Linked DNA regions of Astyanax mexicanus. The protein of the gene in region 1 purifies or fractionates together with the protein of each later gene. This does not show direct contact. Links are inferred from orthologs where the notes say so. Each region holds a gene or a part of one and is shown on either strand. Other genes may lie near its edges. The genes, in order: ddx39b, myosin-9, rbm15 and srrt.

The links.
Region 2: the proteins of ddx39b (region 1) and myosin-9 purify together in Homo sapiens (affinity purification with mass spectrometry, with the first as the bait; 4 studies listed by BioGRID). This does not show direct contact. The link is inferred for Astyanax mexicanus from reciprocal best matches to the Homo sapiens genes DDX39B and MYH9.
Region 3: the proteins of ddx39b (region 1) and rbm15 purify together in Homo sapiens (affinity purification with mass spectrometry; 3 studies listed by BioGRID and IntAct, with this or other methods). This does not show direct contact. The link is inferred for Astyanax mexicanus from reciprocal best matches to the Homo sapiens genes DDX39B and RBM15.
Region 4: the proteins of ddx39b (region 1) and srrt purify together in Homo sapiens (affinity purification with mass spectrometry; 3 studies listed by BioGRID and IntAct, with this or other methods). This does not show direct contact. The link is inferred for Astyanax mexicanus from reciprocal best matches to the Homo sapiens genes DDX39B and SRRT.

What each region holds. Positions count from the first base shown.
Region 1 is NC_064410.1:37,555,422-37,563,084, reverse strand, and holds the start of ddx39b (DEAD (Asp-Glu-Ala-Asp) box polypeptide 39B), read right to left. Parts: upstream 3,018-7,663; 5' UTR 2,928-3,017; intron 309-2,927; 5' UTR 308-308; coding exon 73-307; intron 1-72. Other genes in the region: polr1h (DNA-directed RNA polymerase I subunit RPA12), read left to right, coding at 4,406-4,523, 5,131-5,234, 5,382-5,491, 5,772-5,796; gtf2h4 (general transcription factor IIH subunit 4), read left to right, coding at 7,618-7,663. UniProt on the Homo sapiens protein: Involved in nuclear export of spliced and unspliced mRNA. Component of the TREX complex which is thought to couple mRNA transcription, processing and nuclear export, and specifically associates with spliced mRNA and not with unspliced pre-mRNA.
Region 2 is NC_064410.1:18,744,877-18,752,471, forward strand, and holds the start of myosin-9, read left to right. Parts: upstream 1-4,595; 5' UTR 4,596-4,752; intron 4,753-7,595. UniProt on the Homo sapiens protein: Cellular myosin that appears to play a role in cytokinesis, cell shape, and specialized functions such as secretion and capping. Required for cortical actin clearance prior to oocyte exocytosis. Promotes cell motility in conjunction with S100A4.
Region 3 is NC_064419.1:41,296,608-41,304,473, forward strand, and holds the start of rbm15 (RNA-binding protein 15), read right to left. Parts: upstream 3,010-7,866; 5' UTR 2,828-3,009; coding exon 239-2,827; 3' UTR 1-238. UniProt on the Homo sapiens protein: RNA-binding protein that acts as a key regulator of N6-methyladenosine (m6A) methylation of RNAs, thereby regulating different processes, such as hematopoietic cell homeostasis, alternative splicing of mRNAs and X chromosome inactivation mediated by Xist RNA.
Region 4 is NC_064408.1:1,332,124-1,339,748, reverse strand, and holds the start of srrt (serrate RNA effector molecule homolog), read left to right. Parts: upstream 1-4,612; 5' UTR 4,613-4,719; intron 4,720-6,360; 5' UTR 6,361-6,392; coding exon 6,393-6,511; intron 6,512-7,475; coding exon 7,476-7,619; intron 7,620-7,625. UniProt on the Homo sapiens protein: Acts as a mediator between the cap-binding complex (CBC) and the primary microRNAs (miRNAs) processing machinery during cell proliferation.

The DNA.
Region 1 (7,663 bases):
GACTTGAATTTGCACAGCAGGTGGAATTCTACTCTTCTCACTTTGGCTAAAGATTTCCTTCATTCTGCTCACCTTCAGACGGATGCTCAAAGCCACAGTCCACTATGGCCCTCAGAAGCTCAGGCTTCAGAAGAAAGTCCCTGAACCCTGAGGAGTGGATGGACACATAAGAGCCTTTGACCCCCTCCTTTCTTATGGTCATGGCACCACTGTCACCGGCAAGCGTTCCATCCCCGACGCCACCTGCTGCATCTACTTCATCCTCCTCATAGTCTAACAGCTCGTTCTCCACGTCGTTCTCAGTCATTCTGAAAAAGGGGAAAACACTAATTAAACATTTAGCCTGTAGATCATTACCCTGAGAGCAAAGAACGGTATACGGATATATGAATAGAATACAAACATAATATACATATTTAATTTAAGTCAAGTTTAATACAAACAATAAATATAAAATCATAATTTTGAATCAATGTTTGAATCAAAGTTTACACATAAATAAATTCTGGCAATCAACATTGTTTCAACATATGTAAATGTTGATTCGGGAGCTGAGTGGTACAGCAAGCTAAGTGCTGCAACTATGATCAGGAGATTGCTGGTTTGAATCCAGGACATGCAGCTTGCCATCTGCTGCCAGAGCCCCGAGAGAGCACAACTGGCTTTGCACTCTCTAGGTGGGTAGATGGCGCTCTTTTCCCCTGATCACAGAGACTGACATGACTTTATTCCTTTCAGCAATATTTGCTGCACTCTAAAAAACTATAAACTATCTACCTCAGTAACTGCTGTGATTATATATGTTCTATATGTTACAGTATGTTACACATCTCTGCACCTTATCCTCACTAAACACTCTATTATACCGTATCGGTACTGCACTGTCCTGTCTTTAAATTGTCTCGTCTTTTGTATTTATTGTATTTATTATTATTTAGTGTTATAATTTTATCTGTCGTCACTCCTGCACTTTATGTTGTCTATTGCTTGTTGTTCTATGTTGCACCATGGTTCCGGAGGAACGTAATTTTATTAAACTGTGTACCTGTACTCAGATGTAATGACAATAAAAGCCTTGACTTGACTTGACTTGACTTGATCAGCACAAGGCACCTGTGAGCTGATGTATCAGAATCAAATTGCTGCGCTTATGCTCTGATAAAATACTGACTGATACTATATTAGGATACTGATATATAGCTGCTCAAAAAGGCACGAACAGTAAAACTGATGTAAGTAAACATCTGCACTGCAAAATCTAAACATGAAGGGAAGTCATACAATATTATATTGCCCAAGCAATAAGAAGATTTTGTAAAGAAACATTATTCTGTAAGTATCAACATAACTGTGTTCAAATTGTTAAATATAAATATTATTTTATGATACACAAAATGAGTATTTCTCGAATTGTATTATGATTAGGCATTTAAATGTGTTGATATTTACTTAATTAAAGGATCAATATTTGCAGATATCATATTCTTTATTACAGTTTAAGACAAGCCTAATATGCACATATTCCTTAAAAGCTATTTTGCCATCAATTTGTAGCTTTTACAGTAAAGTATTGACATTTTAGAGACTCTGTATTGTATGCTAAGATACTAAGGTTCTGTTTAACCTGTATTAACTATTTAGTAGGGATGCTAGGGGTGGGCAATATTATATCGTATACAATATATCGTGACACAGAAATATCGTGATATTAAAAAATCCATATCGTGATAATAGGGCTGTTCTGTCTTAAAAGTAGTCTATTATTTACTGTGAAGCTTTAGGTGTATTTATTGTATAATTGTTTTAGTTTGCAGTTTATATGCATGCACTAAATATTCTGCAATATTTTTGCTGCATTATATTATTTTATGCTATATTATTTATTTTGCCACATTATGATTATGCTGTTATACTCTTATACTATATTCCTGAAATTAATTAATTATTTTAGTTTTCCTACATCGCCAAGTATATAGTTACCGCAAAACTACCCTGAAATATCGTGATATTATTTTATAGACATATTGCCCACCCCTAAGTGATGCACAATGATATCGGCCAATACTATTATTTTTTTAGAATATTCAGCAATGATATGGAAATATGGCTATTATTTTAAACCAATACTTACTTACATATTTATTGTATTCCAGAATTTTTTATTATAAATGTGTATATCGGATATAGACATCGGCCCAGAATTTTCACATCGCTTCGTCCCTACTATTTAGAAAGATAAAAAAGAAGATCATATGATTAATTATCTGTAAATTAGATTTAGTAAATATTTGGTAAAATCTCAATTGCTAATGTCATCACTAGTCACAATCCCAAACCAAATAAAAAAAAATATAAAATTTTTACATAAAAATATAAAAAAACATCTGAAACTGAATATAAATTAGTTAATATTATTTTTTTATAGCTTCTCCAAGTGTCCTGTATGAGACTTTAAAGCCCTCAAATTTTCAGAATGTAATTAAGTTATTTTACTGCAGAAAAAAGGGTTTTGTATCACCTGCACCTGTAGCTCGTATACGGGAGAAGGCATTAGGCACATATGGCAACAACCAACGTGTTTTGCTATTTAAAAAAGCAGTAATAATATTGTACCATAGCAATTTTATATGAAAATATAATCAATACATATATAATCAATACTGCACAGCCTTGATGGGCAACATTAAATATAATACCCACAGCTGACGGATATGACCATATTAATTATAAAAATGATTGTAATGAATGGATGAAGTTTGCAGGTTTCAGTATATCAGCTGCACAGGGCTGCTGTGTATATATCTGCAGCAGCATGTGTTTACAGAGCAGCTCACACGCGCTGCTGCACTACAGACTGGTGCACAGAACAACACAGCCAGCGCTGCATGTGTTTAACCGCATTTTATCAGATATAAACCCTCATTTACCTGGATTAACTGTGAGACACTCCGCGGTGTGTTTTTATTTCACCTGCTCGCTGCTGCTGCTCCCCTGCACGTCATTTGCTCTGAGACGAAGGGCCTCCCTCCCACCAGCAGCTAGAGCTGTCCTCCGCTCCGCCTGAGCTCAGCTCCGCAGGCCGGCTTCTGCTCTCAGGGATCTGTCGCTCAACTCCTCCGCTTTCCAGCTCGGCTTTAGCGACACTACTGGATTTAAGAGCTTGTTTAGACGGTAAGTTAAGTGGGTGGAAACCGCAGAATGTCGGGTTTAGTTGTGTTGGTAAACACGTGTTTAGGTGTAGTTGATAGCTAAAGTTGGCTTCTTAAGCGAAATATTCGTTCCACCTTAAATCGTGCTGTATTTACACGGGCAGCCGTTGAGGCACGAGACTATAACTGCTGAGTCTTTTAAGGTGGAACTGAAGTTTTCGTCTTGTCGTGGTTAGCATGGGTGCTAACTTCTTTTCTTCTCAACTTGGATTAATTACTTTAGTTAGCATAAGTCACACATTTGGATCACTTGTGTGTTTTAAAATTGTTTTATTATCTACATTTTCATTCTTTTTTTCTTTTTCTTCTTTTCTTTTTACAATAAACCAATGATAATACAAGTTATTAAAATTTAACTGGAACTTTCCTTCCACGTAAAAAAAAATCCAGCTGTTGCATACAGTTGTCATATAGTTTGCTATATTAAAGGTTTCATGCCATCGTTTTTTCATTTATTTTATTTTATTTCTGGTTGTGGTCTTCAGTATGAATAAAAAAAATAAAAAAATCTGTTGTTTTAGTATTTAGCGGCTTTAGTCCGGTGGAGGAGTGGGAGGGAGAAACATGTGTTGTTACTCTAGTCTCAGAGTTTCTGTAAAACACAAAATCCACTGGAGATCCTATGTAAACTATAGTTACACAGAGGTGGGTAACGTTAGTCCAGTTCCAGAAAGTAAAAATCCATTTTTTAAATGTTTAACTAGTGTAAACAGAACTGTTTTTAAACATACACTGACCTATCTCAGTTGGACTTCGCTGGAGGTGTACCATAGACAGATTTTAACCATTTTTCCTTATGTCTGTATACTTCCGGAGTTTACTATAGCAAGTAATTGTAACGTTATAGTGTTTATGGTTCAAGAAAACATATAGTCACAATAATGCATGAATTAATATCCTGTTATGCCTCATCGCATATGCTCAAAGTAATTGTAAGTGGATAAAATGTATATACAGAATGTAGAAATGTATATAGTGTTATAGTCACAAATGTGTGTTTACAGCTAATTAGTTAAATATGGTTTTATGTAAAGTTACTTACTGGTACATAAGTTTGTGTGTATTTGTTTTAGTAATGCTGATGTGAACATATTAATAATTATCATGAAGTAGGATTGTCATGTATAACTTTACAAATTAGTATTTTAATTTAATGTTTGATGATGTGCATTTATTTCCACTCTTGATGTAGGACCATGTCTTGCTTCCAAGGAGATATAAACTTCTGTCCTGAATGTGGTAATATTCTACCAGTCCCTGGAATTCAGAATACCATTACATGTCCTCGGTGCTCATTCGACATTCCTGCCAGTGGTGAGATTTCATTTTGGCCTAAAGATATTTAGATATACTTAGTGGCCACTATTAGAAAAACCTTCATGTTGGGGGAAACCGGCCAGCATGGCCAGCTTAAATCAGCTTGTTGATCAGCATATAGTATGTTTTGTTTGATGTTTCAGCTGGTCAACAAACATGATCAACCTGGCCAACCTTACCAGTATGTTTTTGACTAGATAACTGGCTTGTCAACAATTTTGATCATCAAATATCAGCATAGATCATCTAAAGCCAGACACCAGTAAAAGCTGGTCTGCAACTGGATTTTTGATCAAGCTGATTTGACGTTCCACCTTGCTGGTGTACAATAAAAGACCATAGCCCATCTGTTGATGGACTGTTCTTGTTATTTTGTAGTGGCAGAGCTACTACCTAGCAGTGGCATTAATTTGAACATGTCATCACCATCCAGATCCAATTAACGTCTGCTCAGAGTTATGTGGTAGGTGTACCCTCATAGCGTGTTTGGAGAAAGAATGGACAAGGAAGGAGTTTGTAATTAAGTAGACAATCTGAGAAATATACAGGGGGATTTTTACCTACAGCCAGGACAATGTTTAAGTCAACTTTTTTTTCTCCTCAGGTTTTGCTGGGCAGGTTATCAAGTCATCTGTAGTATTTAATCCGTTGGTGCAGAGTTCTACTACTGTGGAGAGTGAGGAGGATTCTGAACTAAAAGGCCCTGTGGTAAGTTGCCTAAATTTAACACTAAAAAATTTTGTTAAATAATCTTTGCCCTGCAACAGTTGTTTAAAGAGTGAACAGTGGACAAAAAACATTAGGGAATGTGAGCATTTATAATTGTTATCTTCTTCTATGCAAATTCTTCACCAGGTGGACAGAAGGTGTTCACGCTGCAATAAAGAAGGAATGGTATACCACACAAGGCAAATGAGATCAGCAGATGAAGGCCAAACGGTGTTTTTCACGTGTATTCACTGCAGGTAATGTCAGAGTGACTCCATTAATAACTCATACTGCTAAATGCATTGATTTCTCTGAGGTGCAGGGGTGCTCTGAACAGAGTAAGGTTTATATTGATTCTTTTTCCACAAATCAAGGCAGAGTGAAAATGAGAGAGGCAAGAACATCTGTGTTTAAGTTTCAATTTGTCATTCCACTTACATGAACAAGACAACATACAGTTTTTCTGCCACAATCTATAAGAAATCACAGAAATCTACAGAAGCTAATTTCTTTTTTATTTCAATGTTTACATTACAGGCACCAAGAGAAGGAAGATTCATGAGATGTTTGGTGTTGTCCGACTTGTATTTGATCATTGATCAACAACGTGAATCCAATATTGTGTCTGCACAAGATGTAATGGAAAAAGACGCCACAAGGACTTGGACATTTTTGCTGTACATTCAAAATGTTTTGTATCAAAAAGAAATGAATAAAAAATGTAATATAAAAAATGTGAGAAGCACAAGCATATGTCTTTCTTTTTACCTTGTTATTTCTGTCTATATCTGCAGTAGACATTTGTAGTAATAGCAGTCTTGTGTTCAGTGTTTTGATTTTAAGTTAGAATAAGTATGAGGGCAAGTTAAATATCAAAGAAAGCAGCAGAATCCTTAATTAACTACACTTTAAGGTTGCTGTGATGGGGATAATCAAGATGTTTTTTGGCAAATGTGAGATGGGCTGTTGTGTTCTTTTTGTTTTTAGTATATTTCGAAAGTATTGTGTTTTTCTTTTCATTTATAGTTATTGTATTTTCTGGCTACATCAGCTAAGCCTTACCTTTTCAAATTCATACAGTTTTTTTCATTCATACACATTCATAGAGTGTTTCATACATGACTCCTTTTTAAACGAGTTCAGTAAAGGGCAGTCAACTGGAACCTAACTTGCTTACACATACCAGTCCCAAAACGCATAGTAAAAACGTATATACATAAAAATGCAGCTCTGGAAACAAATAATAGACCACTTAGGCGGTCTGAACTGATTGAATTTTGGTTATCCAAAAGCTGTGTGTAAGACTGGTAGTAGAGAACATGCCAAGATGCATGAAAACTGTGATTAAAAAACAAGGTTAATCCACCAAATATTGATTTCTGAACTCTTAAAACCTTATGAATATGAACTTGTTTTCTATGCATTATTGAGGTCTGAAAGCTCTTTTCTGTTATTTCAGCCATTTTTCATTTTCTGCAAATAAATGCTTTAATAATTGTCATATTTTATTTTGGAATTTGGAAGGAATGTTGTCTGTAGAATAAAACAACAGTGTTCATTTTACTCAAACATATACCTATAAATAGAAAAAACTGATTCAGAAACTGAAGTCACCTCTTATCGTTTTTTCTAGAGCCGAATGTATATAGTTATGAATTTAGAAAGAAAGAACAAATGTTCATAAAAAGAAGCGTAGAACTGTTGGCTTTAGGGAAACATAAAGTGCAAAATAAATGTAATACTTATATGTAGGATTTTAAAATTTTTAAATCGTTATTTGGAAATAATAACATTTATAGAAATTAAGATAATGCTCTTTTGGTCATGGCCGGTTCAGCTGTGAATCAGCCAATCAGAAGAGTCCGGTTCGTGTGCGTCACGTGATCACGCCAACATGGCTTTCTGTACAGCAGCAGCACAATAGCAGCATGCTAATGTTCAGCTCTGGACTGTTTACTCTGTCTTTTAACGTCTTTCTATAAGGTGAGACCCACTAAAACATGAATTAAATAAGATTTAAGGCTCTTGCACGCGCCCGGAGTGCGAATTAAAGCACCTAGTGAATCAGTAATATTGTCAGTGATATTATTGTCTGCTGGAGTTCAGGAGTCTCTCCTGTTAGATAACTGGTTAGCAAACATTTTTGAGTTATAATCGCTATAGTTCGTTTAAGGCTGTAAGTTCAGAAGTTTTAATTCAGCCAGTTGATTGTTTTTTATTAGAACAGTCTGGTTCTCCTTATCATTACAACGCTGTGATTTTAATGCAGGGATGAAAGTAACCTAAAGTAACTCTGCAGGGAAGTAACTTATCTAACGCTGCTGTTAATTCCAGCTCTGTGTTTTATGTACATCCTTTGCAGTGGATCCCTCTGTCTCTAAAGATGAAGCTCAGAGTACAGCTACAGTGCAAAAACCTTCATGAGTACC
Region 2 (7,595 bases), about 19 Mb from region 1:
GCATGATAATTTTACTCCATCTGACAGTTTAGAGTATGTGGATGTCTTAGCACTTTTGCTAAAAGAGCTGTCGCTCTGTGTGACTGACTGGAGATGTGGAAGTTGTGTCTGCGTGACCGGCAGGGTCACAACTCTTCATCCGAAGCTCAAGGATGTTTGTGAAAGTCTGGCGTCAACATAGCCCCCCCCTTTACCCGAGAGAGAAAGAGAGAGGGAGAGATAGAGAGAGTAACAGAGACACTCTTACATATATAAAAAGGAATGTTTAAATAAACAACTCAAAATATGACTGAAAAAAAATACTTAAAAATCTGGCAATAACAAACAGTGATAAAATATAAACATTGACATTGAAAAAAACGTCCCAGCTTTTCATTAAAACAATTTCTGGTAGAAAATGTTACTTTTTTTCTATTTCTGGTTGAAAGTGAAAGGTGAAAAGATGTAAAATGAGGTCTATATGAGACCAACACAAGATAGCACATAATTAGAATAGAGTAGAGTAGAGTAGAACAAAAATGATATATGGTTTTCAAAGATTTTAATAAAAATAATACAAATCTGTAAAAAAGTGTGATGTGCAAAAGTATTTAGCCTTCTTTACTCTAAATCCCCTAAATAAAATCCAGTGCAATCAACTGCCTTAAGAAATCACATAATTAGTTAACAGAGTCCAGCTGTGTGTAATTTAGTCTCAGTATAAATGTTCTCTTCTGTGGTTTGTTGGAGAACACTAGTGAACAAACAGCATCATGAAGACCAAATAACTCACCAGACAGGTCAGAGATAAATTTGTGGAGAAGTTGTCTCAAGCTTAGAGCATCCCAAAAAGCACTGTACAATCCATCATCCAGAAAAAAAGTATTATATACCTGCAAACCTACCAAGACATGACAGTCCATCTAAACTGACAGATCGAGCAAGGAGAGCACTGGTCAGAGAAGCAGCCAAGAGGCCCAAGGTCACTCTGAAAGAGCTGCAGAAATCCACAGCTCAGGTGGGAGAATCTGTATACAGGACAACTATAAGTTGTGCACTCCACAAACCTGCCGTTTATGGATAAGTGTCACAAACAAAACCAATGTTGAAAGAAAGACGTGATAAGAAGTGTCGCTTGCAGTTTGCCACAAGCCATGGAAGATACACAGCAAACATGTGGAAGAAGACGCTGTGGTCAGATGAGACCAGTGCTGGTAACTTTTTGGCCTAAATGCAAAGGGCTTTGTGTGGTAAAAAAGTAACACAGCTCATCACCCTGAACACACCATCCCCACTGTGAAGCATGGTGGTGGCAGCATCATGCTGTGTGGATGTTTTTTTCAGCAGGGACAGGGAAGTTGGTCAAAATTAATGGGAAGATGGATGGAGCCAAATACAGGACAATCCTGGAAGAAAACCTGTTGGAGGCTGCAAAAAACTTGAGACTGGGAAGGAGATTCAGCTTCCAGCAAGACAATGAGCCTAAACATACAGCCAGAGCTACAGTGGAATGATTAAAATCAAAGAATATTCATGTGTTAGAAAGGCCCAGTCAAAGTTCTGACCAAAATCCCATCCAGCATCTGTCGCAAGACATGAAAATTGCTGTTCACAGATGCTCTCCATCCAACCTGGCTGAGCTTTAGCTTTTTTGCAAAGAAAAATTGGCAAACATCTCAGTATCTACATGTACAAAGTTCATTGAGACATACCCAAAAATACCTACAGCTGAAATTGCAGTGAAATGTGGCTCTACTAAGTGTTGGTATACTGAAAGGGTTAATAGGCTGATTACTTTTGCACATCTCTGTTTCAGATTTTATTTGATAAAAAAATCGGAAATCATTATAATTTTAGTTCTTTTTATTATATCACTTAAAATATCAATAAATTACATTTAAGTTTGTGGTTTGTGGCAAAATGTGAAAAACATTTAAGTAACATGAAAATTTGTAGTATTTACTAAAAGCTCTGACATTCTAGCATTTTTGTTTTATTTTAGTGCTATATAAAAGGTTTTTCACAAGTTCTTTAGCAAAGTCAACATCTCAATGAATCATTTACACATCTGACCTATAGTTAAACTGCTATTCAAATTCAGAAGTACTTAAACTTTCTTGTAGATATTTTTTTAAATACTTTTTTAACACAAACTGATTACTGTGTTGTTTTTAATATGTAGTTTTTAGGACATCCTGGGTTCAGATGTTTCTTTAAAGTAAAGTAAACCAACCCTTTAACCCATTAAGCTACGATGGTTCTCAATGAAACCCTTGTCTTTAATAAGAACCTTCAAAAATCCCATAATCACACAGTAAGCGTGTCTACCTGTAATTAATTCTATATACCGTTAAAATGAACACAACTAAACCCTAACAAAGTCAGTAGTCAGAAAATGCTTTTAAGCTACTTTTAAAATCTGTTACAGACTATAGTAAAGCAGTGAAGCAGGCTGGGAGCAGAACCAACACAATACAAGGAAATTAAAGACAGGACATTATGTAATTAATGCATTAATACGAAGGAGTAAAGTGGAATAAACATGGATTACTCATAGGCTCATGCTGTAAAGCTCAGAAAATGCTCAGAAAAGTGCAAATGTGTGTAATTGTGTTTAATTATAGTTTGAGTTAAGTGAATAGAACTAGTTAGGTTTATTGCAGGTCTCATCCTCTCAGCCTTTAATTCAATCCCAACAACAGCTCATTTTAGACTCAAGGAGATAGAAAGAGAAAGAGGAGCAGAATAGAAGGAATAAGATGAGGAGATTAAAGGCTAGAAAAATGATGTAAATTCAGTCCAGGAGATCCAGAGTCTGGGCAGGCAGCAGAACTAGATTCCAGTTCCTCACCCAGAGATTAATGCCTGTTTTGTATTTCATTTTTAGATGAATATGAGCTCAGGTATGTGGAATATTCCATTCATCATCACACAGGGACTTCACAATACTGCAGGAGGAACAAAAAACACAGACTGCAGGAACACAACAACCTAATTAAATCTGGACACTGTGCCCCACCAACCAACAGAGCAAATACAAAATGTGCTCAAGTACACAACAAGTTTCAAAACATCCCTATTGTTTTATTTGATCATCTTAACAATGTCTTTATTACTGCATGTTACCTGCCACCTCTAATTCTTCTCTCCACTGCTAAAACTGAGACTTTTTAGATTTACAGTGTTAATCTGAGCTAAAGATGTTGCCATGTGGGTCAGCCTGTAGCAGTTTTCTCCAGTTTCCAAGAGTCTTTTGAAGATGTCGGAAATCACTCTCTGGCTTTATCTAAAGAATAAAATTATAGTTACAAAATTTCCACAGTCTTATTATCATCATCAACTAATTATCATCAGTTAGATTAAATCTGATTTGCCAGCAAACCAATTGTGGTATACTCCAAAATCTTTAGCTAACTGTTTATTTAAACTATTTGTATGTTTAAGTGAAACATTTTTATCTCCATAATCTAACTTCTGAGGTAAACAAAATGCTACATAAGTATAGAAAATTAATGACACAAAATGAATGTCAAAAAAATGTGCACAAAATTCTGAACTCAACAAATGCTTATATATAAAATAGTGTTGTCAGTGTTAACCTGGTAACACACACACACACACACACACACACACACACACACACACACACACACACACACACACACACACACACACACACACACACACACAATTAATCTAGAAAGCGCTTTAATTTTATTTTACCAAATATCTGCAGTAACTTTTTCCAGAGCCTGGTGATGCATTAGCCATTTTTAGCAATATTTAGTGATGTAAAGATACATTTAAACAAACATATTTGAATACAAATAAAACCATTTAGATGACCTTGACATTGATTCTTTTTAATTACATTTAAATATCTATTACTAAAAGTTTAAGTGTTACAAAAATATTTTTTTTATCGTTTGACAAACCGATGTTTTTTTCCAGGATTCTACACAAAACTTCACTTTTAAAAGTAAGTGTTTAAATGTTTTAAATGGTAAAGATGAATGAGTGTGATAAACCTGTCTACAATAGTGGGGGCCTGAACTGAGGCCTATTCATAATCTAGCGCACAAAAAAGGGAGAGAAACAGGGAAAGGGGGGGGGGGGTGGACTGCATTGGTAATTCCTGGCATTCCTCCGTGTTTTGTGGGAGTGTGTGTGCGGAGCTGCAGACAGTGACACACCGGGGTCGAGGGGCTGCTGGTGGGTCCGTCCCGCGCAGCCCGGCTACTTATATGGTCATAAAAGTCCTCGGCTGCTCAGACCGTCCCGTTAAACTCTAAACTCCGGGAGAGGCAGGCCCCGCCCCCACTCCTCCGCCCCGCCCCCTTCCCGCTCTCTCATACTTTAGCTCCGGTTCGTTTTCGCACTTTTGGGCTTCTGATTGGCCGAAGCCGCCTGAACGCTACGCGCTGACTGGCAGAGAAGTGAGGAAGTGGGCGTGGCGTACAAACCGCGCCGGCCCCGCCCTCTCTGGACCGCACCCCGAGCCAGTAGGCGAAACAGTGCAAGTGGAAGAGAGGGAGGGAGAAGAGAGAGCAGAAAAAAATAGTAAAAGAGTGAGAGAGAGAGAGAGAGAGAGAGAGAGAGAGAGAGAGAGAGAGAGAGAGAGAGAGAGAGAGAGAGAGCAAAAGAGACGAAAGAGGAGAGAGCGCGCTAGCCTGAAGAGAGGTTGCAGCGGACAGGCGGTTTTTGCAAAGCTGCTACGACCAGGATAAGCACCGGTTCTTGTTAAGTCAACCTTAAAGCAGCTGGAATAAGCAGGTAAGTTGTTTTTATAGTTTTTACAAGGCGTATTTTCCACCCATCTGCTCTAAAGAGCAAAGTGCACTGAAGCAGGAAGGACGAGCCAGGCTCAAAGTTGGCTTTCAAGTCTAACTCTGCGGTCCACCTTAAATGGGACAGACGTTCCATTGCTCCGGCCACTGAGGCGCCAGAACGTAACTGTAAAGTGCCATGGAACTGCTTCACTATTTAAGGTGGAATGGGAAAAGTGAACGAGATGCTAACTTCAGCTTCAACGTTGAAGGGCGAGGGGAGTAAAGCTTGGCCGGGAGGGACTCTAAACGAGATCGCAACACAGTTTCATCTCCACGCGCACTTTCTTTTACGAGTTTAAGCAGTTCTAAACTTCGCTGCTGCTGCAGGTAGACTTGTTCGAGGGGAAAAAACAAAGCGGTGAAGTTACAGGAAGCGACGACCTGCTCGCATGAATGAGTTGCATAAAAATGGAGGGAGAGAGGGGAGAGGGAGGGAGGGAGCAGCCGGAGCCCGTTACCGGGCCGGGACTCCCCCCGCCAGATCCGGGAGCGCGTTAGCGGGGCGGGGTGGGTTTTACTCTGGGTGTAAATCACCGGCGCGGCTCCACGCGAGACACTCGCTCTCGGATGGTTCATCGTGTTACACGCGGTGACGTCATCGCCCGATTCCGGTGTTCTGTGGAGTTGTGCTACCCTGTCAAACCGTGCTACCCTAGTGTTTAATGTTTAACTGTAAAAATAAAAAATATTAGAACATGCTGCATGCAGTAGAAGTGTCGGTATAATCATATCTGAATAGCCTAGATCGCTGTATCAGGATAAAGTTAAAGCAACATAGGTTAAACAGGTTAAAACAAGGCAACATGACTGAAAACATTTTTATTTATTTTTATTATTATATTTGTTAGTTTTTTTACACGGTTGTAACATTCAGGCAAACGATGACTGTGAGTCCAGATTGTACAATGCACCTGGGGGGAAAAAACTGAAAACTAAATTACCAGGAACTAGAGGTGGGTAACACAGGTCCAGCAAGTAGAAATCTAACTCAGGGTTTTGTACCAGCTGCCTGGAATTTTACTTTCTGGACCTGGGCTACCCACCTCTAGGAAAGAACACATGAAAACAGTAAAGATGAGATTTTTGCGCATGCGCAGAGCCGCTAAGTATCACATATCGACGGGTAGCACAACTCGATAGAACACCTGGCTCCCTGTGTCAGTGACGTAGCGCAGCTAACCCGCGGATCGATACTCCCGATCAGTTTTTGTAGCTTATACATCAGAGAGAATGCATCATTCAATATAAGAAAGAACGAGTAACACTTTTAGCTATATGTACACATATTAACCTTGTCTGTAAGTCTCTCTCCTTTGTTCCATTGCAACATTACTAAACCCCTCAGTTTGAATACCTCTGGATTAACTTTTAATAGGTGCTTTAACCAGTTTGGGGAAAGTTTAGCTGAACTTTCTGGAATGAGTGTGTGTAATAAGTGTTTTAGAAAAGCCATTCAAAAATAAATGTGCACACAAACACACTTATGTGTGGGTTTTGTTATGTAAGCAAAAATGAGAGTTTTACAGGCTAAGAAAAGTATGGTAAATTCTGACATTCAACTCTCTATTCATGTCAAATGCAGAATGTCAACTAAATACTGGTTTAGATGTAAAATTATTATCACAATAAAGACATTTCACCATACGCAGAATATTTCCATCCATATTTTACAGCAAGATTTCAAAACCTGTTCCATATTTGGAACATTGAAAACTGGTTGCCTTTCCATCTAACAGAACTGGGAATTATTTGCATTCCATTTAATCTCGAATTTCCAATAGAATCCAATATGGCAACCTCACACATCAGCAGTTGTAAAGCAATATTATTATAGAGTTTATCACTTCTATCTATAAGTGTTTCATTAAATCCATCCAACACACAGTTCTGTACTACTTCTATCTGCACATGATTACATGCTGTTTGGATGTGCAAAATAATTCCTTCATTATCAGTTGGTTTCACAAACAATTCTAACAAGGGATAAGGCTATCCAGGACAAGGGATAATCCAGGACATAAAAAGTGGGAAAAGTATTGGTTAGATTTACCATAAAACACCGTAAAAACACTTGTGATTTATATTTTGACCTGGAATAGTGTATGACATAATACCTAGCTGCACCATCCAACATGTAAGCTAAATGGAATGCAGCATAATTACTTAATTGTGCTCTTTGAAGAATGAAATGTGCAGGTTTCACCCAGTGAAACCAATCAGATCTGTAAATTAATGATCATGGAAGATCAGAGATTGCTAGGTAGTTAGGTTATATGGTAGCTACTTTTTCAACAAAAAACATATTTGACACAAAACAGTCACAATTTGAAACATAATTTTCAGATTTGCTTAAAAATGTAAATTTGGTTAAATATGAATACAGAAAGATTCCATTTAGGTAGATCAGTTAATATTGTAAATATTAACACATACAGTGTAGATCGCACTCGCTATAATATAATGTTGGCTCAGGTAATATAGGCAACACACAGAGTGTGTTCTTTTTCTCATTCTGCTCAAATTTCGTGGTAAAATAGTTAAAGATTAAATATTGTCACTATTAAACTGATAATTTGCCTCAGTCAGTTGTATATATGTATTTTTTAAGAGCATGTATTAAGCTGACTTTGGGACTCAAAACAATAGCGATACTAAATCATTATTATTTAAACTTCTTTTAGCTAACTATTTTGTAGATGCTTTATTATTATGCATATTCATATAAAATTATCTATATTCACTGGATAATAAATGTAACCTTGTTTAAGATCGTATGATAGTAGTAGA
Region 3 (7,866 bases), on another chromosome or scaffold:
AAGACTCATAACTTGTAATGATAAGCAAATATTGCGATAAGGAAACCAATTCAGCTATCTGAGTGTGGCATGTTTTATCCCCATGCATTGCATTTGGCAGAACAGATGACACAAACCCACTTTAACCCATTTAAACTAGAATTTGCTGCACCAGGCTTAACAGAGCATGCACAATTGAGACACATTTTTTTTTTCTTTTTTTTTTTTTACAATGCATTTTTTTGGTGTGTTCTGATTGTTAAGATGCTCCGCGGACGATAATCATGACCAGGTAGTCCTCTTCTGTTTTGGCAAGAGCTTTCGCAGAGGAATCTAAGAACTGCTGAGAGAAATCACAGGGCGGAAAGGCATGCAGTACCCCCGTGTTGTCCTTATCGCGACTGCCCCCGACAGGTAGGCTGATGACCCCGGCTGCCTGCTTTTGCTTCAGGTAGGAGACCAGGTTTCGCAGGGGACGCTGCGTCGATGCTGCTGGATCTGCTGAGGAGGAGGATGACGACGTCGTGTCCTCGGAGCTGCCAGGAACTGCCAGGAGAACCGCATACCCGCCCGGGCCTGCGACTTTGATGCGGCGAGACACCTCATCCATCTTGGGCTGGTCGAGGCGAAGGCGCTGGGTGATGCGGAGCTGGGTGACCTTGCCTCCGGTGCTGCCGTCGACGAGGAGACTGCTGGCCACGCTGAGGTCACCATCCAGGATGTGCATGCTGGCTGGAAAGTTGCTGTTTTTCAGGAGGAGCATGCCGTTCCAGGCCATGCTCAGCTTTCCTCCTGAATCTTGCTTAGATGACTGGCTGCCTTTGGAGCTGCCCTCAGCTCTGTCTCTTTTAGAGGGGCCTTTGCTTGCTTCTCCTGCTTTGCGCTTTCTCTCAGATGGGCTTGTTCCGATGCCGGACTCTGACAGGCTGCTGCTGCTCTTGAGGCGCTTTTCTGCAGGTCCTCTGTCCAGGCTGCTGCGGCGTTCTCTGGCTGGGGACGGCCGCTCTGCTCGAAGCGGACGCTCTGAGTCACTTAAACGCCCATCACGGCTGCTGCCTCCAGGGCTGCCCTCCAGAGAAGGTGGTCTCCTGCGTCGTGCCGCCCACTCGCTGCTGCTGTCAGGTGAGCATTCCAGGTGGCGCCCATCCTCTAGTAGGCGCCGTTTGCGAGCAGCATCCCTGCCAGGCAGCTCACGCTCCAGGGACCAGGGCTCTCTTGGACGGCGTTCTCTCTCCAAGTGCTCTAGAGGTTCGAAAGCAGGAGTCCTTACTCTTTCACGAATAGCAGGGGCTGGCCACTCAGCCCCAGCATACAGCTCCCGTTCTCTAAAGTGCAGTGGTGGTGGAGTCCTTTCTCTGACCCTGATTGCTTCAGGAGTGGCACGGTGGACGAAAGACTCCGCCACGAGGTCATAGTGTGGCAGAGGAAGCGGCTGCAAGAACTGCTGCTGGTATCTGTGCTCAGTGTCTGCAAAGTCCACCCTCAGCCTTCTGTCTGGACCTCCCAGAGGAAATCCACGCATGTGAGTGCAGGCTGCCTGAGCTGCATCCAAGCTTTCATACTGGATGTACGCCCACGTGTCACCTTTTCTGTAGTCTATAGTCCTAATGGTGCCAAAGCGATCAAACTCCCTCGCTAAAGCAGCTAGAGGAACCCAAAGCCCTAGGCCACCCACCCAAAGGCGTGTGGTTGGCGTGGCCTTGCCATAGCCGATTTTTATGGCGTTTCTGCCCACCACCTTTCCAGACATGCTGATCTTAGCTCTGTGGGCCATGTCCAAATTCTCAAACTTGAGAAAGCCATATGTGCTGTTCTGGCCACGCGTAGGTCTCTTGATGTCCACCTCTGTAATGGTCCCAAAACGATCAAACGCCCTCCTCAAATCGCTTTCTGTGACTGTAATGTCCAAGTTACCCAGGAATAAAGTTCTGTTGGCTCTTTGGTCGTCCTCTGGAGAGATGAAGTCCTCTTCTCTGAAGGCAGCGGCAGCAGCAGCAGCCCTCTCAGCGATGTAGGCAGGCCTGGCGGCTCTTGCTTCATAGAAGGCAAACTCCCTCTCTCTCTCCAGCTCTCTGGGTAGAGGAGGGGGAGGGGGTGGAGGAAGGCGGCCCAGAGCGAGCTGCTGTAACCTGTAGTCTCTGTAGCCGAGCCCAGTAGGGGAGAGAGGCCTCTGGGTGTGTAAATGTCTGTGGCCAGCCACTGCTGGGAAATGGTCCTTGTCCACCGGGCTGCGGCTTCTCCTCCGGTTCATGTACACGGCCTCGATTTTCAGAGGGCGGTCGTACAGCACTAGGCGGCCGCGGGCGTGCTTGGCGGCCCGGGCGTCGTCAGGCCTCCTAAAGTTCACAAACGCGATTCTCTCGTCGTTTACGCGGCTAATCTTCACGCTTACGTCGCCGAATTTCTTGAATTCGTGGAAAAGCCCGTCCTCGATCTCCTCGTCGCTTAATTGTGAGCCTAGCTCGCTGATTTTCAGCGTTTTGTACTCACTGTCGTTGGCGGGGAGCGGAGTCCGCGGCTCGGCCCGCGAGTTGCCCCTAGCAGCGGCGGCGGCGACTGCCTCCAGCGACAGGCCCGAGTTGTGGTTCTTCGAGTTGGGGCTGGTGTAGCTGTTCCCGGCGCGGCTGGAAACATGTCCGTCAAAGTCCCTACTGTCTCTTTTATCGCCTAGAAGGCTCCTTCTCGCTGAACCTCCCTCGCTTTTGGAGGAACTGTTGCCGTTGTTGCTCCCTCCGGACATGGAAATCACCCCCATTTTCTTACTGCTCGGGTGGCTCCCTCCGCGGTCTCGCAGATCATCCAGCGCCCTCGATCGCTTTTTCACGGGGGAACGCTCTTTCCCTTTCATGTCGAGCACTTTAAACCTGCGCCTGGCCTAATAAACACTCACAACTTGTATAAACTACACCCTAGTTACGCAGATTTAAACGAAAAAACTACGAAAATCCGCCCTGAATCATTCCCGCAGCAAAACAACTGCATTCGCCATCTTGTCTCCACAGCTTCAACACACACTAGCAAACCTAGCTAACGCTAACTCAGGCGAGTCGGGCGGGCGTACCTCGCCCGAGCAATATGATTGGTTGGAATGTCTGCGAGCGCTTGTTTCTATTGGCTGAAACTCACGTCAATCACAAACTCAGAACAACGCCCAGCTAAAACTGGATTATAGCGTGCCTGCCCACTTCAAATCTCTGACGGATGTGTCAGTAGCGTTACTCTAGAGCAACCGATAGAGGGAGCCCGCGAGGGAGTCTTAAATGAATGGGACTGAGTGGGGCTAAACGGCTAAAAACACAAATTAAAACATTGTCCAACTACTTCTTCAACATTTTAATTTAATTTCAGAAAATATATTCACGTATTTCGCTAAAAACGTAAAACAAACATATATTTATGTTTCGATTTGTCCACAGCAAGCATGTTTCACTCAGTAAAAACGCTAGCATTGCTGCTATTGTTTGTGAGATCACTGAGCTGATGTTGGAGATACAGTCAGAGAACACGTTTAAAAGCTGTATAACTGCAGTTTACACTGTTTCTGCGCTGTTAAAACATTTTATATAGTTTTGTTTAGAGGAAATGAGAATTTGTTTCCCATTAAAAAATGATCAGACATTTATAATATCCTATTTTGATCCATTGCTCCATAAGAACCCATTCATTTTGAGCTCACTCAGAAGCGCCCTCTGCTGGTTGAACAAAGCCAGAAGACGTGCTAAAATGACTGATCTCCTCTCTATAGTTTCTTTGGCCCAGCTCTCGCCTAGCCCTCGTGGCATGCGGAAATGAGCCCTCAGAAAGGACGTTTAAATAATTCAACTTTCAGCCTTTTTTTAACGTTTAAAAGGAATTTTCACGCATTTGATCTATAATAAAGTTTATATATAATGATACGAAGGCTTAAATTGTGCAGCAAGATGTGTAAAAACGGTTTATTTTGGTTTATTTAAAATATTTGACCTCTGCTAGAGGCAATGCAGCATTTAATAGCAGTTCATTTTATGTTCAGTAGATGTCGCCGCCTGTATTCTGTATACAGCTCTAGACCAGTAAATACGTTTTTAAATAAATTTTAAATAAATATTAATAATAATAATACTTTAATAATAATAAAATGTATTCTGTGTTGGCTACAAATAATTAGGCAAAAAAAAGAAGAAAATGAACCACTATGTGGCTATTTTTTATAGTTTATATATCTCACAAAATGCTAGAGAATTTAATCAAAATATACTTGGATATGTGAGATGACATTTTATATGATAAAGATGTAAATTGAGTCAATATTACTTTATTATTTCCTTGCAACTGAACTGTAAAATGACCTAATTTGATTGAACCCAGAATTATTTATTAGGTATAGGTATTTATTAAATGAGCAATATGTAAAATGTAAACACATTTCTTGTAAGCTTTGCTGCAGGTTTTTGATTTTATGTTGTGTGGCATCACCTGTGATGGGGGATATAGCAGCAGCTGAATGGGTGGGATCATTGGTTTAGTTAAATTGGGAGAAAAATGGGAGAAAACACACAATGATGTTCTAGCAATGTTACCAGAATGTTTAAAATCGTTAAATAAAATGCTCTAAAAACTTCCAGAAACATTCAGTAAACTTGACTCCACTGCACTGCTTTTCTGATCAGTGATTCTTATTATTTTCTTTTCCTTTATCTGCTTATCTCATTCACGTAATCTGGGCCCTAATCAGTTTGCCTTTGTGGCTGTATCAGGCCGTGCTGTCTCGACGGGCCGGGCTGGAATTCAAAGCTGTGGGTGTGGAGAGTGTTTCTGACAGCCTCGCTCTCTCTCGGCTCTATTGGAAACACATGTCAGCTCTCTTAAAAACACGACATGGTGTGCTAGACTGGCACTTAATGTGGTTCTGCTCTGCTGTCATGCTGAAGATTCGGTGGAAAGACGTGGTAACAAATACTCGCCCTAAAACAATCCTCCACCGCTGTGCGTTTGGAGAGTGGGGTAAGATGACAGTGGCTTTGAACAGGTTGTAACTGCAGCTGTTTAGCTCTGTTTCTCAGCCTGGAAAAGAGCTAAAGAGCTACATCTCAGATGTTATCTAAATTAGGCAGCTTGTCCTAAAAAAAGTGTCTGACAGAACTGGCATGCGGTCATTAGATGCAGATGGAGCTGTCTCACACAGCACCAGCACGCTTCAGGCCTTGTCACATCTGCTGTGGATGTTCTACCACCCCTGTAGCTGTATTTAGCTGGTCTGGATGCTGCTGGAATGTTTGTTTTATATAATGAATAAAAACAATGCACTGAACCACCCTGATTCTAATGTGTTTATTTCCACACATACAATACACTACAATGCATTAACATGTCACATACTGTATCCAGGGGCGTAGCAGCAAATTCTGGGCCCTGTACACCCTCTATGTTAATGGGCCCCTATCCATGCCAGTAAACAAAGGAAAGTGAGCGAAAAAAAATCAGGATTTTCATGGGCCCCTCTCCCTACTCGGGCCCTGGGTAGTCAGGTCCACTTTTCCCCCCACTACCACGCCCATGACTGTATCATGTGTCAGGAACCACCTGTAGTATTGGGTGCCATTACTTTTGCCATGTCTACTGGTAGCTAGCTAGATGTCAGGTTTAAGAGCATTTTTAGCTCCCCTTAAAAAGTTCATTGTACATAGCAATGATATTTTATTCATTTATAAACCAAAACCAATTCAAAACATTATTTTATATAATTTATGAATCCTAATACAGTATTTTTGGATTTAATGCCCGACACAAGGTTTTATAAAATCTACAATACTACTCCTCTTTGGGCATGACAGTATCATGCATAATGTATTTAATTCACTGATTAACATTTTTTATTCTTATTGTATTGTATCGTATTTTATTATTTTTAGATATTTTTATACTATACTGAACCCTTTACCATTTAGTTGGACTTTTGTGTAGAGGACAAATTCAATCACAATATCTTAATAAAGAAGATTTTTAACTTAACTAAAATCTACGTGTGTATTTGGTTTCTATGATCCGGATCATTTGATGAGTTCATTTACTTGGAGCGTTTTCTCCCTCTGTTGGGTTTGGTTTCACACAGGCATAAACCTAAACTCACCAAAATACGCACCAATAAACCACGTGGGCACATTGTGTCCTCTGATTGGTCAGAGCTGTCTGGTGTGGGAGAAATAAAAACAAAATATATCGAGAAGATTCTGTGTTTCAGTGCAGATATCTGTGCAGTGTGAAGCTGCTTTAACACAGGATGCTGAAGATTTGGCGCAGTGCTTTCAAACACAGCGTTTTTGATATGCAGTGCAGATGTACAGTAAACAGAGTTGTGCAGCTGCGAGCAGTGAACACAGCACACACAGTGCGTGTAAACAGCACGGAGCAGCAGCAGAGACAGCATTTGTTCCTAGCTGTGGTAATTAGCATTATCTGGCTAATATATCAAATTTTAAACTGTGCCTTATCAGCAGTTTAGCTTAAATAAAAGGAGTATGTTTGATAGCTGGGTCATTTCTTTTGGTTCTTTTGGGACTGGAAAAAAGTTGTTTTTATCTGCACCTTAAGTAAAATTTTCTATAAGAATGTTTCCTAAGCCAACAGAAAGTAGTTTAAAGGTTTTAGTTTATGGGTTTAGCTGGGATTGGTTAGGTTATAGTTGGGTTTAGTTGATTTAAGTTAAGTTGATGGTACCACCCCATGCCAAGTGGTGGACCTCTAAAGGTACAGTTGAGTTTACTGTCATTTTTTCTAAAAGTCTGGTCTCCCAGAAACAGGACTGAAAGCAAGTGGTCCAGGCCTCCAGACGGCTTGATTTGTTTTTCCGCAGTGGTTTACTTCAGATAAACTAAACCTCTTGTATTAGAGTTGAACCACTTCCTTTCTGACAGATTCTTAGAGAATGTAATTTAAAACCAGAGGAAGTGAGTGTTTGTGTTTAATGAATGCATATCTATGGGTGCCCTCCTGCTCTTCTAGTGCACTCTATGGCACACTTACTAGATAGTGTCCCAAATGGTTTTCTTTCCATCAGAGAAAATGTGATGGGATGCTGTGTTCTACAGTTTTTTTCTACAGATGAGAAAACACAATAAAATGTTTGGTTAAATGCTCCTAAATGCTCTACCTGTGGATTATATATGATGTAGTACCTAATAGTACAATGTTAATCAATGATGCAGATATACAGCTCTTGAAAAAAATAAGAGACCACCAAAAAATTATGGGTTTCTTTGATTTTACCAAATTAAAAACCTCTGTAATATAATCAGGAGGAAGATGGATGATCACAAGCCATCAAACCCAACTGAACTGCTTGAATCCTTGCAGCAGGAGTGTAAAGGCATAAAGTTATCCAAAAGCAGTGTGTAAGACTGGTGGAGGAGAACATGCCAAGATGGAAACTGTGATTAAAAACCAGGGTTATTCCACCAAATATTGATTTCTGAACTCTTAAAACTTATATATAAATATGAACTTGTTTTCTTTGCATTATTTGAGGTCTGAAAGCTCTGCATCATTTTTGTTATTTCAGTTGTTTCTCATTTTCTGCAAATAAATGCTCTAAATGACAATATTTTTATTTGGAATTTGGAAGTCTGTAGTTTATAAAATAAAACAACACTGATTCAGACTCTGAAACTGATTCAGAAACTGATCTGTATTTTAAATGCTGCATTACAGCTTCTTCACTTCTTCAGTGCTGGTGAGGACCCATGTTGCTTTGCTTTAATTTAATTACATTTTTGGTTGTACGGGTTCCTTTCTGCAGTCCTTTTGATTTACAACAACAGTCTTACAGTGTGACACTTCCCCTTCAGACACTGCTCAAACACTCGAACAGCTCTGCAGAAAAAATATGGTCACAATATGGTCAGACATTAA
Region 4 (7,625 bases), on another chromosome or scaffold:
CGCAATGTGGTTAGCTTCTGCATTTTTACCCCCTATTTATTCTTAATATGGAAAAAAGAGACCACAATAACACTTAAATTTAAATTTTCAAAAATTCTGCAATGCCCAAATCACACAGATGGTCTCTCACAGGTAATATGAACAGGGATAACAGTATATCTGTAATTAGTGAAGGATACAGGTCTCCTCGTACACCTGGATGGTTGCCATGTCTCCCTCCAGACGGATGATCTCCCCCACCAGCTCACTGTGCCCCACCCTCACCAGCTCGTACATCGCAGCTCCCGCCATGCTGGAGGCCGTCACCACTGCGGCGTAAACACGTATCAGAACATATTCTTACCCAACACAGTGACTAGTGCTGGGAGGTATGATCAAAAAATTATATCACAGTAAAACACTCAATGTTTATGCATTTAAAAAAAGAGACATTTATCAAAAGCTCTACTGCACTCCAGCGGTCTAAAGCGCTGCCACTATGAGCGGGAGGTCGCAGGTTCGAACCCCCACTCATGCAGCTTTACCATCAAGCTGCCGGCGCTCAGAGGGAGCACAATTGGCCCAGTTTCTCTCTGGGTGGGTACAGTACAGTAGATGGCGCTCTCTCTTTCCCCTCATCACTCCTAGGGTGATGTGGATCAGCACAAGGCTGCGTCTGTGAGCTGATGTATCAGAACCGAGTCACTGCACCGCTTTCCTCCGAGCGTTAGCGCTGTGATGCTACTTGGAAATGCTACAGCATCAGCAGCAGCTCAAAAAGAGGCGGAGTCTGACTTCACATGTATCGGAGGAGGTGTGTGCTAGTCTTCTTAACCCTCCTGGTGTGTTGGAGCATCACTAGTGATAGGGGGAGGAGTCCTAATGAGTGGGTTGGGTAATTGGCCGTGTAAATGGGAAAAATGGGAAAAATTAGAAATAAATTTATACTGCACACAATTAATTAATACATTCAGTTCAATGTGCATTAAAATGATCCTTCCATCTACATTATTAATATTTAAACAGGCCTGTAGTTACTGCTCTTGAAGTTTATTTTCATCTCTTATCCAGAGTTTTAGGGAGTTTTATCTCTTGTACTAAATAAATGATTCTGTACCCAGATCCGATTCTGGGCTCATCTGGGGGACAAGAGGAAATTTCTCAGAGCTGTGGACTGATTGCGCAATTCTATTCCTCCTTTTTCTGAGTGAATAATTGCTGTTTGCTGTTGTTTTTCTATTTTTCTCAGATAAAAACACTCATGCAGTGAGGAACAGCAGCAGGAGCTCTTCAGATAAAGTGCTGTTCTCATTTCTCTCCAGGCTAGACAGAGCGAGACGAGTGTTTGACTCCACAGGGATGAGCTACCATCACTCCAGTGCGTTAGCTTGTTATGCTAACTGGCTAGCGTTAGCTAGTGAGCCGTGTCAGTGTGCTTCTTTGGTGGTTCTATTCTGCACAGCACTCTGCAGCACCTCTAGTGGTATGGCAGTATGTGAAAAAGCATACCGGTTTTAATTTCCCCTCCAGTATATCAAATAAAACGATATACCGCCCAGCACTAATTGTGACCACAATAGAACAGAACAGAGACTCACCGGGTCCGGAGACGCCGTGAACAAAGCCGAACTGTCCCTCCCGATCTTCATCCCGAATTTTGGGAAGCTTGGAGAAATCCATCCTGAGTGAGAGTGTGTCTGAGTGACGAAAAAAGAGAGAATATAGTTATAAAATAAATAAAATGTGCTTTAAATACCGTATTTTATCCAAGCAAAGTTCGTTTTTCCCGTCTAGCAGCTCCTGAGTGGCGTAACTGTCTAAGCGCAGACTCTGTTGTGTGCTGTGTTTCTTCCCAAACTGCAGCTCAACACGCTTGGAGGAGAACACTACACAACTGCTAACCCTGATACCTCAGCTAGCTTAGCAGACGACGATCATAGCATCACATGATTGGAGGGGTGAACAAATAATTTAAAGATAAAATTCATTAAAATAAATAAATAAATAAATAACGTATATTTGCTTGTATTTTATTATTAGAATAGTATATAGTAACATATCTACTTATAACACTGCTTTGTGATTATGTTTATTTTACACAAAAATACTAAATAAATAGCATTTTATACTACACTGCTGTATAAAATTATACAACGACGTATCTATTGTAAATTGATCTATACATCAGTACATATTATTTAGTAAATAGTAATTTTTTTAAATTCATTTTTCTATTTAGATTCTTATTATACTAGTTGATTATTATTCATTTGTCCTTTTTAGCATTTTTCTTTATTTTAAATTTGATAAATTCTTAACTTTTTATGTGTTATTTTTTATGGTTATTATTATTATTATTATTATTATTATTATTATTATTATTATTATTATTTTATTTTATTTATTGTTATATATGTCTTGAATTTGTTATAAACTGTAAATGCTAGGCTGCACTGTAAATAAGGGTCACCCTCAATGTTCTCCTGAGTTTAAATAAAGGTTGGTTTCTATAATTGAATTCAGCACAGTCTCTCTAAATACCTCACTTGGGCGTTAACTCTAATTATAGACTCTACTTATAGACTACTGTAACACACATAATATATCTTAAATTAATTGTAATATTCTTTTTTTATATTCTAATACTTTTCTGTAATCTATTAATTTTCTGTTTCTTTTAATATTCTATTAGAAATAATTTTAATGGTGCAGCAGCTTTTAGTGTATTTTTAGTTTATTTAGTATATTTATGTCCACTTAATTTACATAGTGTATTTCTGTATATTAAGAAAGAAATACATATATTTAAAATATAGAGATAGCTATTTTAATGTATATTGATTATAATTAGTTAAAGTATAAGTAGTACTTTTTTTTGCATTAGTAGCAGTATTTATAGCATTTTTTTAGCAATGTATACTAAGTGTATTTCTATATATTTAATATATTGCTGTATATTGAATGCATGTGTCTTTGTGGCTATGTGTTAGTAATATATATGTAGGTTTGTACATATTAGTTTATTGTTGTATTTTAAGCAGCAGTGTGTGTGTTTTAATGGATTTAGTACATTTAGAGCGGTATATTGTGTATATTTTGTATATTTCTGTGTATTTAAGATTTATTTTTAACATTTCTAATAAATGCACAGATGCATGACATCCTTAATTAAATGATACATGAACTATAAAGTAAAATAAAAGCCTAAAATCGAATTAAATCCTAAATTAAGCTGAAATAAGCTTGTTTTTCGAATTAGCCGTTCCACCTTAAATGTTGCTGCAGTTGCATTCTGGCGCCTCGGGCGCCAGAATGCAACTGCAGCAACATTTAAGGTGGAACGGCTAATTCGAAAAACAAGCGAGTAAATTAGAGCAGTTAAAAGCTAAAATCAATTAAAAACGAGCTTAAAACGAGAAATATCAACTAAAAAACACAATTACATGAATAAATCGATATAAAACAGTAAAATAAGGCTGAAATCGAGCTTGTCTTACCGTTTTACTATGAGAACAGAGCAGAAGCAGAGCTGAACAGTCACGACACTGATCAGCTGACTGGACCTGGATTAACCCCTTTAAACCCCTTTAACCCTTTACTGACCACATCCCTCCTATATATTACATTTATTATTACATATAACACACAAATCAGAGCATATTTATACAGATTCTCACTTATATTCTTATTAAATTAAGGGAATATTTATGATATATTTCCTTAAATTTTCTTACAGTGTAATTAATAGGCAGAATTGTTTTATTTGTATATTTATTTACAAGATATATGCTCATTATAAAACTTATATCAATCAGTATTACTATATGTTTTATTACTATGAATCTTACTATGCTTTCGTTCGAAAAATATTTAATTTTTGCAAAGGTCTTTTTTTTTAAATGTATTTATTTATTTAGCTATTGTTTTAATTATTTATTTACTTATTGATTTATTTATTTGTCTAGTCATTTCTTTATTAATGTATTATTTTTCTATCATCTACTCATTTCTATTTTTATTAATTTATTGATTTATTTATTTATTTGTCTATTCATTTCGTTCTTTCTTTCTTTCTTTATTTGTCTATTTCTTTCTTTTTCTTCTTTCAATTCATTTCTACCTTTATTTGTTTATTGATTTATGTATTTGCCTATTCATTTATTTCAATTTCTTTATTTTTCTACCTTCTATCCCTTTCTATCTTTTTTTTTACTTATTGATTTATTTTTTTATGTATTTATTTAATTGTCTATTTATAAGCAATGCATTAATTATCTGCGTTTGGATCTTTTATTTATTTTAGGCCAGTTTTTGGCTAAAAATATTGTTTTACTTAAGATACAGCTTTTACTTTTAATATGTGAAAGAGTGCATAATTTATACACTTTATTTATATTCAGCCTTTGGGATAAATATTTTATTTAGTTATTTACATGTTTTGGTTTTAGACATAAAAATCCTTTTTGTGCATCCCTATTATGAACGTACTTACCTATTTTGTAGATTGATTGATTGATTGATTGATTGATTATATATTACCTAAATTAAACTAAATTTACCATAATTTACTTTATAAGTATATACAGACTTTGATTCTGAAGTGTTGTGTTTGGGCTGCGCTTTGCTCTTCTGGCCGGAGGGGGCGCTGCTGCGTGATATCAGTGCAACATCCGGGAGCCTGCTTCGTCCGTTCTGCAGCGAGACCGCGGCGGGTGGCGGGATTTTACCGAGTAGTTACCGGTACCGCGGCTTTTCTTGCCTTTGTCTCTGTTTATTTACTGTTTTTATACCTTTTACACCCATATTCTAGTTTGTGTAAGGTTCTGTATGTGGAAAGCAGCGTAATAGAAACGTATTTTGGGCTAATCTGTTCCTTTACTTTTGTTCTGTAGTCTCGAGAGTGAAGCTAGCGAGCTAGCCAGCCTATAGCTGGGCCGTGCTCCAATAAGCGCACTCGCGCCCTTAACTGTACACTTATTTATTTATCTGTTTAGTGGGTGTTTGGGAGTAGTTTAGTCTGATTTAAAGTGTTTTGATTCTTTACTGACAGATTCATTGTTTAGTGTGTTTATGGAGAAAGCTTAAGTTTACTCCTATGGGAGAGAAAACACACTTAGGTAGGGTGCCTGAGTAGGGTGCGTAGTTAAGCGTACTTGTTTTTTGAGATATCTAGCTACATATTTAAGGAACAGTTACGTATGTAGCTCATTTGTCAGTAAAATTAGTTAAATAAGTGATATATTTAATAAATGGTACGTTCATATCTGTGTAATATCTCAAACAAACGTTCAAATATAGGTAAGCATGTTAGCTAGTCTACTGCTCGTATTGGAACACAGACAGGCTTGTATAATAAGCTAAGCTAACGTTACTTGCTCTAGCTAGGCTAGCTAGCTAAGATAACCATAGAGTGTATGTCGTTTTATCTGAATATTTGAGTTAAATACTTTTTTTGAAGCCTAAATTGCTTTAATATATAAAATTATTCTACACGTTTGGAGCAGAACTAGCGTTAGCTAGGTTAGCTTGCTAACTGGTAAGTTAGCTATGCTAGCTAGCAGTGCTAATCGCTTCAGATATCCTTTATTAAATCTTGTTTATTGTGTTAAGTTTTTATATACAGCTATTTAAACATGTAAATTGTACCATAGTGCACAATTGTGAAGTTTATCACCTTTAAAACAGGCTCATTGAATTTTCCTTTCCACCTTAAATCTGCAACAGTTTCATACTGCAACCAATGCCCCCGTTACAGTGCAAACAATGGGGAAATTTAAGGTGGAACGGAAAACTTTCTTATTTAGTGCCAAGGTGTGAAAACACAGCTTTTACAATATGTACCAATGGAGGGTTTAGCTTTAATATTGCAATATTTTGTTTCACGTTGTGCTGTGTGAATTGGAGTTATTTTTGTTTTCCTTTAAATATTAAATTGTTCTTCTAAACCTTTGGACCAGAGGTATTGTAGTTTACTGTCTAGCCAGTTCGCAATGCTATTTTCACTTACTTAAATGTTATATAGTTATTTAACTTAGTAAATTGTGCTATAGTTTGCCAATGTTAAGTTTATTACTGAATGTTCTGTTCCACCTTAAATTATGCTGTTGCGTGCACTGTAAACGTGACATTGGTTGCAGTACAGTGTAACTGTAGTAGATTTAAGGTGGAACAGTCAATTAAAAAAATACTTATTCAATGCTCAGTCTTGATAAATGTTTGTGTGTGTATATGCGTAATGTATGGGGTTTAGTCACATTATTAAAAGTGGATTTTTTTTTTCCAGCTTATAATACTAGACCCCCTTGAGGATCACTTTTAGAGATCTGTATTCCACATTCTGTATTGAAGTTGATGTTATTTCTTGTATATTTTCTTTATTAGTGAGATCTGAGACTGGTTGGTGATTGGGCGTGATGGCAGACAGTGATGATGAGTACGATCGCCGCCGCAGGGATAAATTCCGCAGGGAAAGGAGCGATTATGACCGTTCCAGAGAGAGGGAGGACCGGCGGAGAGACGACTGGAGTGACCGGTGAGCAGCTGGGAATTTAATATAACTTAGTACAAGAACTTAATAACCGTTTATAACAGGGGTTCCCCAACCCGAGTTCTTGTGTTTCTCACGTTTTAGTGTGTTCCTAACACATTACTGTTACTTGGAAACCTTCAAAGTATAAACATTCATGGTTTTAACACATTGGTGCTAAAAAGGAAAAAACTCTGGTCTCATATTTCACTGATAATTAGGGCTGTGTATTGGCAACAACCTGGTGATATGAGATTTTAGTTTTTCGCTTGTTTTAGGAAAACTGTCTAAAGCCCTGTCTGGACGGAATTAGTTTCTCAGGGGGACACCTGTGAAAAATATTTCACTGTTCTACTCAGTGATAAAACTCCTGCATCCGGACTGCAATTGTAAAAACAGGATGACCAGGGGGTTTTTAGGCTTTTTTCTCAGTCACATGACCTCACGTTCAGTAGCTCCTCCATTTCCACACACTGTTGTTTTTAATGTGGATCTCCTTGGAAACGCACGTCCAAAGTGTAATTACGGTGCGCAGCAGTGGACAAATATCTATTTTATTAAAGGTGAGACGAAACGAAGATGTGCGTCCAGAGGGGACTAAAATTACTGGAGGAGCACGAAAAAGAGTTCAGAGGACGTCTGTGAAAAACACGAACATGATCGTTCTGGACGGAAATAAAATTACCGAGGATAAAAAAAAAAACATAAAAGAGAAAATTACCCAGAACCTCCTGAGAAAATAATCCAGTCCAAATAGGCCTATAGTACAAAAAAACAAACCACGTTGATTTAATCTAAGAGAAAAAGTTTACTTTGAAAAGAATCAGAGCAGTGGTTTTTCAGTTAGCCTTTATGACATGTCCTGTAACATTCAGCACCATTTTAACAGAAAATAAGTTACGTATATCACGTATATTAAAAAGTGCTTGCAGGATTATTTATGTGTGTTTTGTGTGTTTGTGGTTTGCAGGCGCCCGTCGGCGAGAGAGTGGGACCGGGGCCGAGAGAGACGTAGCCGGGGGGAGTACCGGGATTACGAGAGGGGCAGGAGGGAGAGATTCTCCCCACCCAGACACGACATGAGCCCCCAGCAGAAACGCATGAGGAGAGACTGGTACAC